Rattus norvegicus: one gene and its partner. The protein of the gene in region 2 purifies or fractionates together with the protein of the main gene of each other region. This does not show direct contact. Links are inferred from orthologs where the notes say so. Each region holds a gene or a part of one and is shown on either strand. Other genes may lie near its edges.

Region 1 (5,789 bases), on a different chromosome or scaffold from region 2:
AGTTTCAGCCCTCTCCAGACTCAGAACAAGGCCAAGGGCTATAAGTATTTCTTGCCACTATGGGTCCCTGGTGTTAGATTGAGAATGGAAGAAGTCCAGGAAACCCAGTCAGAGGACTCACTAGTGCTTTCTAAAACCTGAAAGGGGCTGACACACAGGCTTGGAGGAGGAGGAAGCTTTGGCCTGTCTCAGAATGGGCCACCTTGCACATTCAGGACACAGGGTTCTTCAGGCCTTCCCTGGTGTTCTGGAAGGCATCTCGGGTACCATGATGCATACATTCAACAAAGGGCCTCCGTATATATGGCTGCTAACCAGAAGAGAAGGAAAAACTGAAGCATGCATTTCCCTCTAGACCCTGTAATCTCAGTCTCAGACTGGGACCAGTTTTAAAAAGTGGACCATCATACACAGACAAAGGTTACTACGGGCTTATGAGATAAATCCACCCCACAACAACTGACTTCTTCACCATTGTGACTAAGCAGAGAACATGACTTTCCTTGAACCTGAAAATGGATCTTAAATTTGTTTGAATTAAGAAACACCTACGGCATTGATAAGGCACACTGCTGGATGCCTATGAGAGCTTTCCATAGAGAATTAAATGAGGGGAAGAAAACCAAGCCTGAATGTTGTAGCCCCATCCCAAGGGCTGGAGTTCCAGAGGAGTCGGCCAACCAAGCGCCAGCACTGCCCTTTCTGCTTCCTGATCCAAAGACGTGAGCAAGCGGCCTCAGACTCCCAACGACACAGCCGCCTGCCACTACACCCCACGGCCCACTACCACATAAAGAACCATATTCAAACCATGAGCCAAAATAAACACCCCTAAACAGTGGAACACCCATTCTGCTTCCAAAAATATTAAGTGGGATGCTTTGAAATTCTAAAATCCCTGGCTAATCCTAGCATATTTGTCAAGTTCAGAATACAGTCTGAAATGCAATTAAAAAATAGTATCTGTACTCTGAGGCATGCCAGCAGCACATGAGGAACAAGACATGTCATAGGTTGTCACACCACACACCACCACAACCCTATGCTTGCACGCACATATCCTGTAGGTGACTGTCGTTAGCTTCTGCTCATATCTGCTAGTGTATAGCATGGAAAGACGACAGGGCATGAATCTCCACAGGACCTGGGACAGTTCAGGCTTTGGAAGAGAAGTCCTGTGCTTCCTCCAGATGCTTGATACCACAGAAAAGTTCCTCCACACTGCAGCTCCATCATACCATCCCACTACTAACCCTCGTCAGAAAGGAGGGCTTACTGTGCCCCCTTCCCAGACATAGGCAGTGGAAGCTGGGGAATATCACTGTGAAGTCACTTTGGATAAAACAAAAAAAAGGGAAGGCAAAAACAAGTCTATTTCCTTAAGAATTTTAATAACAAGCTGTACTGTATCAAGGAGTCCTGTGGGAGAAAAATTTTAAAAAACTCTATCAAACCCCTCAGGAAGAGAGGAAAGAAAGAAGGAAAAAATAATAGTAATAACAACCCCAGTAACCTGTGTGCACAGGAGAATAAAGAGAAAGGAAGTCAAGTCAAGACAGCAACATCTTATGCAGGACAGGTTTCCAGGTACACAGTCAGGTACAACAAGAAAGTCCTCTTTTCTAATAAATGCATTGTAACTCCTAGAGCTGCTGGGACCTGGAGGTGGGTCAATTCTGATGCCTCTGCTCTCTAGTCCTGTAATTTTACAACAGCTCATGTGCTGTGAAATTCTCCTGCTGCTTCAGCCCTCATACCTGGAGAATGTGGAGTAGAATAAAGTCTCAATTTAAACAATAATGACAAAAATGGTCAAAATGATACAACTCCACATGTCAACTAGAATATTAAGTATCACAAATTAGCATCATATCAAAACCTTCTGCCTAACCCCATTGCTCCTAAAATCTATTAATAAGCATCTATGAATCGAATCGTCTCCTCACTCCCTTCATAAAATAGTGTCATGCTGATTATGTAAGTCTACACCATGAGTGAGTTAGACAAGACACCACAGCAGTGAAGGTGACATCCCATGCTGACGTGGTTTGAGGCTAACAACACATTTCATTCCCTCAATCCGTACACGGGCTTCAAGGTATTCCAAGCTCAGCCCTGAGGAACTAGACCTAGGGGATGACACAGCATAGTACTAGACCAGCGAGGATGCTAGGAACAGTCTGGATGCCCAAGGAGTCCCCAACCTTTAAGCTTGTGCTGAGCCTCTGGGCACAAGCTTAAAGGTTGAGGACTCCTTGGGCAATCTAAATACATTTGTTCACCCTAGGGCCTCACTGAGGTGAACCACAGACACCAAGACCCATGGTTACTCAACATCTAATGCACTGTAGATCTCTTGGAGCCTACCTGACATCATTACACACTGACTACAGGAAGGAGGCACACGGATGTTAAACTAGCCTTTGCAAGCAGCTGCTACAGTAACTCAAAGATCATCTTTAGAGGGAAACACAATGCTGAACTTTAATGCGACCTACCACTGTAGAGTTCTAACTTTCCCAAGAGTCCCCTTTAAAAAGCAGGGGACTTTCAACATAAATTCTGGCACTAATCATGTCTGGTATAATGCTTCCTAGACCACCAGTGTTTAACAGGTATCTGTCTCACCTTTAACTGAGAGCAGTTAGAGCCAGGAAGGCTTCAAGAACTAATCCCAAGACTTTACTATCTAAAACTAAAAGGCTAACTATAGTACAAAGCTCACTGAATGTAAGTAAACTTAAATGCCACTTGCTGGCAAGGAGACGGTTGTCCTGGACCTTCCCACTCAATCAACTGTTGCCCTAGCAGAAGGTAGAAGCCTAGGGACTTGTCCCACAGTGGCACTATTTTAAGTGACTACAGCTAAGTGCCAAATCCAGGCTCCTAGCAGCTGGCTCTTCAGGCAAGAAGCTGTCCCTCTTATAATGGGATCTAGTTACTTCCAGCTTCTGGAGAAAACTAAAACCTTATCCCAACAGCGGGCAAGCCCAAGACAAGAAAACCATAAGCCCTTGCTTTTGCCTCTCCCGGTCTCCGTTCAACTCTCGCCTTCACCTCCGTAGCACGTTGCAGAAATTAAATAAAGCTAGCCCAACAGTTGGGTCAGATGCTCTTCTCTGAGCCGCTAGGTTTGTGATTCGAGGTGTTAGAGAAAAGGAGCGGGAGGCGCTGCCCCTGCCCAGAGAAGCGAAGGCTGGGAACAGCAGGCTGCATCCTCTAGGTAGAGAGAGGAGTGTCCGGGCAGATGGGAGTCTGGGGGGCTGGGGCGGAGTCTGGGACAGAAGTCTACGTTTCTGGTTTCCAGAACAGAGGCAGAGGTGGAACTGGGTCGTAAGGAGCTCGGCCTTACATGTTTGAGGCAACTCTCCTTGAGCTTCTCCACCGATGTGTCCTCGGTCGCCTCCTCCAGCCACTCGGAGCCGTCGGCTGCGCAGATGTGCAGCCGAAGCACCTTGCCCGCAAAGATCTTCTCCTCCTGCACGAACATCGCGCCGCCGCCCGGGCCTGCACCCGCCGCCCGAACCCGTGAAGGTCACTGGGGCTGGCGGGAGGACCAGGGGCGGGGCCGGGCCGCCGCGCGCTCCTTCGCTGGCCGCCGCCGCCCCGCCCCGGCTCCTGTCAGCTTGGCCGCCCGTCACTGAAGGGGCAGGAGCTGTACCCTCGCTGCCACTGCCCGCGTCGCCGTAGCTGCCGGGAGCGCGCTGTCGCAGCCGCGCCGGAAATGCGTAATGAGCGCCCGTGGGTATGCCGGGAAATGTGGTTTCTTTGGTAGGTGTTCCGCTGTTGCCCCCACTGCGCCGGAAATAGGTGAAGTATACCGATGCACGCCGGGAGTTGTGGTTCACAGGCAGACTCACCGCCCGCTTACCTAAACTAATGTGTGAGGCGGGTCAGATGTCTACCGGGAGTTGTAGTTCCTCGTTCCTTCAGCACTGCCCAGCCTTATTACCTGATTTGCTGGTCTGTTCGAATAGATCTCAGAGTTGTCAGGGAAAAGTATAAAACATCTGGGTCGGGGTTAGGGATTTTGCTCAGTGGTAGAGCGCTAGGCCCTGGGTTCGGTCCTCAGCTCCGAAAAAAAAAAAAAGATATGACTTCTAATGCATATGTCCAGTCTATATGAGATGTAACAAAATCAGCAGAACCTGAGTATCAGCGAAGGCAAAACCATGAATTTAGGTAACTCTGAAGTGAGTAGGCTTGATTGGCCTGCGGCATTCTAGAGACATCTGACTTAAAATACAATAATTGGAAGATCCGGAAGAAAAATAAAGTAATAACCCTGTGTACCAGAAGACGGAATTCATACCAAATTGCTGAGGAGTATTTTGAGATAGATGTCAGCTCCATTCCAAGGATATTGTTTAGGGGATGGGGATTTAGCTCAGTGGTAGAGCGCTTGCCTAGCAAGCGGAAGGCCCTGGGTTCAGTCCCTAGCTCCGAAAAAAAGAAAAAAAAAAAAAAAACCATCTGGGTCAGGGCACTAGAAATTTGTCACAGTTGTGCTTGTCTATCATGCACATAGCCCTGGGTTTGATCTCAGTGCAGCATAAAGCTGGCACAGGTTTATAATCCTACACCTAGACACAACCAGAGAATCAGGCAGGTCATCCTTAACTACATAATGAGTTCAGGACCACCCTGGAATACAAGCCTGCATAAAACTCACACAAAGTTCGAATCCTGGTTTGGTTCTCAGACCTCACATGGTGGCTCAGAACCAGGCACTCTGGTAATGTTAACACATATATGTAAGCAAAATACTCACCGAATAAATGTTTTTTAATTTAAAAAAAAAAAGCAATTATCAGTGATCCAGGAATGGTGTTGTGGAAGTAGGAGGAACAGGAGGCCAAGTTCATAGTTATTTTTGACAAGTTCTAGGAGATCTTGCCACAGATCTGAGTCTTGGCAGATGGTATAGAACTAAGCCATAAAGGTTTTGAGGACTGTCTTCAAGTCCCCCAGGCCTCTCCCCAACAAACCCCTTGCTCTTTGTCCAAATCCTAGGTAACTCAGCCCATTCTTCAACGGTCTTATGTTCTCTTTCTCCTGGCCGCCAGTCATGGCCGCTGCCCCAGGCCTACTGGTTTGCATAGTAAGAATGTTTGCAAAGTATTTCCCCATAGCCCAAATTCAGCACCTTACCACTGGATATGCCAAAAGAAATGCCCAAAGGAACATGGGACAAGTCTCTTCCATGTGCTAGATCTGGCTCTTCAGGATCCCCAGGACTGGGGAAGTGAGCAGAAGGAATTGTTGAGATAGTGATCTTCACAATGTATTATGTATTCCCTTCCCAGCTGGAGACAACAGGTCCCCTCCTCCAAAAACTACAGGCTCCTATGTGGACACAGAGATACCACACAGAGCACTCTGATGAAAGATGGGCTGCCCAGTCTCCCAGATCAGCCTTCCTACAGAAGCCCAGCAGCAGTCGTGGCGCTCGTGTATTATTCAAGGGAGAACTCATCCATTCTCCCTCTACTCACCGGCTTGGCTAAGGCACGGAGACTCAGCTTCTGCCCATCTGGTACCATTCTTTACCTTGTCCAGTCTCAGTCTCTGTTTCACAGAACGTGCTGTCCCCTCCCTGCCTGCCCATAGAAAGGTGCGTGTTTACACAGTGCCTGCTATTTATGTTGGGGGTGCAACAGGTGAGGCTCCTTGGCTGGCAGATCCTGTGTTCCTATGATGGGCCAGATGAGACTCTGAAGACTCTTAATTAAAACAACTTAGCTGCTACTAACTTCTTCTTCTTCTTCCTCTTCTCCTTCTCCTTCTCC
Region 2 (5,921 bases):
CCAGGCTTGGCAGGGCAAGCCATCAGCTGTCCTGGCCACAGTGCCCCGGTAGCTGGCCCCATTGTCCATAATGCAGGTCCGTACATAGTCTGGGGGGCAATGGAAGAAGGTCAACGGGGACTGAGGCTCTGTGGCCTCTGTTGCTCACCCCATTTCTCTTCACTTGCCTTTCTTCTGGAAGAGATCGCACAGGCTAGAATGGTGTAGCTGTGCACGCAGAGAGTGCTGAGTCCACGGTAGTAGCTGGCAACCATGGCTGCTCATATTGTAGTGGAAGGCTCTGGGGGGCAGACGCGAGGTTAACTGGCAACGCAGATTCTCAAACCCTCAGCCATGTCTGGGCTACTTAGCCACTCACCGGCAGTCCAGAAGGGGCCCACAGCGTCTAGCACACTCCTCGGCATCTGCCACATCCTCCTGCCATGGCCCTGGCACCACTGGATGTAGCAGGTTCCTTAACTCTGTGCCCCGAAGCAGCTGGAAGTCATTCAGCGGTGAGCGCTGCCCTGTGAGATGGGCATGGAAAATGACTGTGCGCATTAGTAATGTATTTTAACACACCCTATCTTTTGTTCATTTAGGGAATCCAATACAAAATCCTTGGGGTGGGCCCTGTGTGTATTTTCAAGGGCCAGCTGATTCCTCCATACCCAGTAGGGAGATTATTACTAGTCTGCTAGTAGGCCTGGCACTGGGCTTTGGTCTAATACGTCCACTCCATGAGAACTGGGTGGTGGTGTTGGCCCTATGACACTTCCCCCTTCTCACCCCTCGGATGAGAATACTTGGACTTTGAGCTAAAATGCTTTTCCAGGAAAGGTCCCAAGCTTCAGCCTTCTGACTCCCAGTCTGGCCTCGTACTGGAATAAAGACATACGTTACAGTGACCCATTAGGGTTAGGAGCCATGCCTTCTGGGTTTGACAGTTTCTCTGGTTGGAAGACTACCTCTGTGCTACAGAATGTTCTACTGTAGTCCTGATCAGACAGTGTATATTTGAATTCCCAAGCTGCCAACAGGCCAAGGTCACTGATCCCTGCCCAAAAGAAAAGTAAACTCTCTGAGAAGAGTTGTCTGGGCCCGGGGCGAACTCCCTCCTGAAGGCAAATTAGGATCAGGGTGGGTGACACTCACCAAGAGCCCTTGAACACTGTGCCAGAAGCAGCAGTAGTGGGAGCCACCCCATTCTCCTAAGCTGGACGCTGCACTGTGACCCACCACAGCCCCATCCCGGAAATTGTGAAATCTGTCCCTTCAGGATTGGGTGACTCTGGCTCCACACCCCCTCTCTGAACCTGGCCTGGTGACAATTGCTAGATGGAGCCTAGGCCTGAGGCCTTTGAGTCAAGTGCCTGGTCCTTCTCACTGCAGCTAGATCCCTGAGAGGCCTCTCTGTGTAGTAGGCAGGACTTAGGAGGGTTCTGTGGAAACATTAAGCATCCCTGAGGCAGAGCCCGCCTATTCTATACAATCACAAGTCTGGCTGAGATCACTATATTGGCCTTCCTACCACCGTCTATCCCTTAGGTAGCATGTTGTTGCTACATGTGCTCCAAAAATTGCATGAAGTCCCTGGTGCCTGCTTTACTGAAGAGGTGTGGTGCACATCATAGTAGTCAGACTCAATGTAATTAAGTTCACCAAGTTAAAAACTGAAATTTTCAGTTTCAAGTTTACAAAGTTAAAAACTGAAATTTTCAGTTATGCTGGTACATTTCAAGAGTTTAGTGACCACAGTGGCTGCCATCACTACTGACACTTCTATGCCAAAGGATTCTGCTAGTAGGAGTTGCCAAGATTTTCCAGCCCCCGGATTATACTTTTCTGGGCCTCAGTTTCTTCCTGTGAACTGAGGAACATAATTTCCCCAGCCCGAATGCTGCCTCTCCCTGTTCAGACTGCCTTATCAGTTGAGTCCCGGCTGTAGGCCAGTCAGCCCACACCCCTAGCAGCACATCCTAGGAACATTCATCTCCTCTCAGAAGTGTCATCCCAGGTAAGCTGAGGGATGTAATTACTGTTGGTGATTTGCTGACAGAAGTGGCCTTTCAGGTTGCATGTGGGTCAGGCCTCCAAGCAAGGTAGGAGTTGAGACAGGTGGACCGAGGGACCGATTAGAACATAGTCTCCTGTTACCGTTGGGCTAGGAAAGGCCGTTGGACCATCAGGTAAAACAGGTAAACACCTGGGTAGGAGTCGGGGGAGGGTTTTTTGCCAGCAAGGGCCTGTTGCGGTCTGTGCATATGCGCGTGCGCGGCTGGAGCGGCGCGCGAGCGGGCACGCGGTTTGGCCCTGGACGGGTGCCGTAGCTGAAAAGCTGGGCGGATGTTGTGAGCCGGTCGCGGAGGCTGAGGCCGGGGGTGAGTGAGAGGCGGCCTGGCTACGAGCCGGGCGGGTCCGGTGACTCCCTTCGAGGCCCCTGGCCGATCCAGTGCGACAGTGCCGCGGCCTGCGGTATAGGGCTCCCAGCGGGAGCTGGCCTGACAGGTCCTATGGAGCTTGGGGCCAAGTAGGGGCGACCTGGGGGAGCATGCGCTGCCCTTGACATCCTTGGCCACCCAGACTTAGTCGGTTCGGTTTCGAGCCTGGATCTCTTAGAAGGGCTGGGCAGTAATGGCGTGGCTGGGAGCCCTGGGGCAGACGCAGGTTCCGCCTCTAAATCCTCTACACTTGACACCCAGAGTGTGTGTCTGGAAGGTTGACTTCCAGTTCTTACTAACTGCGTCCAATAAGTCCAGCAATTGTTGCAATATAAGAGGGACTGGTTGTGGATGTCCATCGAGGGCCCCCGGAGGGCGGCACAGCGGCAGAATCACCTTCCCGAGCGAGCCTGGTATGATGCAGGCAGGCAAGGGTTTGTGGCGGGAGCTGAGGGCCCGTTTGGGGTGTGATAAGAGTAGGCTGCAGAAAAAGAAGTGCTTGCTCAGGCAGTGAATAAAGGCCAAGCTCTGGACAGGCGCTAATAGAACTTTCTGTGGCGGTGGCGGTGATGGCACACCTTGCCTTGCAGTTCAGTGCCGTCCTGTGTGAGCTCTGAATTCCCGAAGCTGAAAGTTTAGTTTTTAACTTTGTAAAGTTAACCACTCTTGGCTCCTGACTATGGTGTTGTGCAGCACACCTCTAGAGTGAGACAGACATCAGGGACTTAGTGCAGTTTCTGTAGCATCTGCAGCAATAGCATGCTACCTAAGGGATAGACAGCAGTATGAATACCTATAGAGTGATCTTGGCTAGGACAGTGATTGCATAGCATAGAAGGATATGTGGGGTGTGTGTGTGTGTGTGTGTGTGTGTGTGTGTGTGTGTGTGTACAAGAAAGCTAATGAGACTGAAAATAAAAGGGAGGAAGCTTGGGCTTAGTGTGACATCTCTTACTTTCGGGGAATAAGAGGGATTTGAGGCTACAGGGAATGTGGTATAAGGTCTTGCCTTTTGACTATGACCTGGACTCCATGACTAAGGTGTAAATATAGGAGTTTTTACTCAAGGCCACCTCACTTTGAATATGTTAATCTGATTTCCCCAGAGCCAAGGCCTTTATGGTTCAGCAAAAACACTTTGCACTGGGTCTCTGCTAGGTCCTGTATGGGGCACTGAGACAGTGTGCAACATAGTGTCCCTGACAGCAGCCTAGATCCCATCCAACATCCCCGTGTGGAAAGCTGGGAGCCCTTGCTTACCCCTGCCCTAGGCCAGTATTGTGTGAATGTGCATGGCTCAGTCTCACCTGCTCCCAAGCCTTCCTACCATTTGCAGGACTGAGGTCTGTGTGGGCCTTTGACTAGCCTGGAGTAGACACTCTGCATCTGGCTCAGCCTCCAGGACCAGTGACTGCCGATGAGCGGTGAAAGATGACGTCCAAGGGGGCTGCCATGTCTTTCTCCCGAAAGAGCTATAGGTTGACCTCAGATGCTGAGAAGTCCAGGGTCACAGGTAAGGGCTGGCGTGGCAGAGAGAATGCTTTGTGTTGGGAGAAGGAAGGGACAGATGCAGCAAGGGCCCGGTTCAGTGAAACCTGGGACTTTCCATGCCCCTTGTTCCTGTGACCATTTCTTTGCCGACACCCATAGAAAAGTGCACTTGGAATGGTTGCTCTTCAGACCCTTGTGGCTGGCCAAAGACAAGCTGTCTGTGGGATCAGTAGGGACCAAGAGCTATTCTGACCACTTGCCTCTTTCCTCTCTTCTGATTGGTGACCCAGGCATTGTGCAAGAGAAGCTACTGAGCGACTACCTGTACCGGATCTTTTCCTCTCCTGACCATGGGACCCCTGCAGCCACCAGCAGGTATAGTTAGTTGGGTGTGTGGCTCCATTCCTCTCTGTTGGGCCTGACCAGATGCTGGGAACTGCAGTTATGGAGAAGGGCATGGTGCTCTCTTCTCACTGTGCTCCCAGCTGTGAGATCTGTGCCTGCAGCCGCCCTCTGGACTCTTGTTTTTCTCTCCAGACAGCAGTAGCTCCTTTCCAGGGATCCAGAGAGGGATCTATGTGCCCCTGGTCCCTGTCAGTATCCGCCCTTACCAGCACTTTTCTGTACCTCTACTCTGCCCTGGCCTCTTGTATCTCGATGGTCTGCCTGACCTTACGTCATAGAAACCTCAGTTGAATACATGTTTAACCTGCAAAGAAGTTACAACAAGTAACAGAAACTTGCAAACAAAGCAAAGCAAACTTCCTCTTCTGTTGTTAGTTAAATGTGACTTAGCCTACTGTGATTTCTTTCTGGTTTCTTTGTCTCACAATGTACATAATTTAGATTCTATAGTATCTAATTCAGACTTTAAGAAAAAAGACCTCAGAACACTTTTTGGGGAAAAAAAAAGACCTGAAGGGCGGTGGCTCATAACTGGAACCCCAACACTTGGGGCTGGAAAAAGCGAGAGGACTGAAGTTCAGTACTGATCTAAACTGGGAGAGAAGACACTGCCTCAACAAGAAAGGAAAAAAAAACTTTCTTACTATTGTATAATAATTGAAACAAAGTAAACTACACACTCTTTTAAATGTTCAAAGTTGCTTTTGAGACTGTGTAAATCAGGTTGGCCTGGAACTCTTCAATTTAGACCAAGGAACCCTGGAGCTTGGAGGTGGTGTGAGAGTCACCTGCCTCTGGCACTGAAATATTCAGATTGTAGTGCCACCAGGTCTAGCACTTTCTTTCCTTTCTCTTTCTCTTTCTCTCTCCTTCCTTCTTTCCTTCCTTTTTTCCTTTCCTTTCCTTTCCCTTCCCATTCCCTCCCTCCCTTCCTTCCTTCCTCCCTTCCTTCCTTCCTTCCTTCCTTCCTTCCTTCCTTCCTTCCTTCCTTCCTTCCTTCCTTCCTTCCTTCCTTTGTTTCTTTGTTTCCTGCTGTGTTTGAGATCTGTGCTCACCACACAGCTCACTTTTGGAAGTCAAAGGACAAGTTGTAGGAACTGAACTCAGGTCATGAAACTTGCATGACTGGTGCCTTTGCCCACTGAGCCATCTTATTACTTCCACCGCCAGTAGTTTTAAGTCTTTTATTTAGTCTTTGACAATTTTATATATACATATAATTTGGGGGGGGGGGTGTTTCAAGACAAGGTTTCTTTGTGTGGCCTTGGCTGAACTAGCTCTATAGACCAGGCTGGACTCAAACATCTGCCTGCTTCCCTAGTGCTGGGACTGAAGGTGTGCGGGAATACAATGTACAGTGATTGGGTCCATCCCCAAGGTTCCCCTTGCGCTCTCCTTGGAAGGCCCAGCTTTTTAGATAGCACATCTCTGTGTGTGTCTCTGTGTGTATAAAACCTAGGAAACAATGACAAGTGTCAGTCTAATGAACATATTCCTCACTTTTAAACATTTTTGGAAATTAGAATTTTTTTTTTTGAGGTAGGGTCTCACTATATGTCACTGGCTGTCTTGGAACTTACTATGTAGACCAGGTTGGCCCTGAAT

The links. Proteins that work in one complex are often made in the same cells at the same time.
Region 1: the proteins of Rnf123 (region 2) and Ubac1 purify together in Homo sapiens (affinity purification with mass spectrometry; 7 studies listed by BioGRID and IntAct, counting the BioPlex papers as one, with this or other methods). This does not show direct contact. The link is inferred for Rattus norvegicus from reciprocal best matches to the Homo sapiens genes RNF123 and UBAC1.

Annotation. Positions count from the first base shown.
Region 1 is NC_086021.1:29,242,504-29,248,292, forward strand, and holds the start of Ubac1 (ubiquitin-associated domain-containing protein 1), read right to left. Parts: upstream 3,659-5,789; 5' UTR 3,491-3,658; coding exon 3,353-3,490; intron 1-3,352.
Region 2 is NC_086026.1:117,642,719-117,648,639, reverse strand, and holds the start of Rnf123 (E3 ubiquitin-protein ligase RNF123), read left to right. Parts: upstream 1-2,365; 5' UTR 2,366-2,833; exon of another isoform or gene 2,834-3,815; 5' UTR 3,816-3,851; coding exon 3,852-3,933; intron 3,934-4,201; coding exon 4,202-4,286; intron 4,287-5,921. Other genes in the region: Mst1 (hepatocyte growth factor-like protein), read right to left, coding at 1-89, 168-280, 359-530, 1,135-1,186. UniProt on the Homo sapiens protein: Catalytic subunit of the KPC complex that acts as E3 ubiquitin-protein ligase. Promotes the ubiquitination and proteasome-mediated degradation of CDKN1B which is the cyclin-dependent kinase inhibitor at the G0-G1 transition of the cell cycle.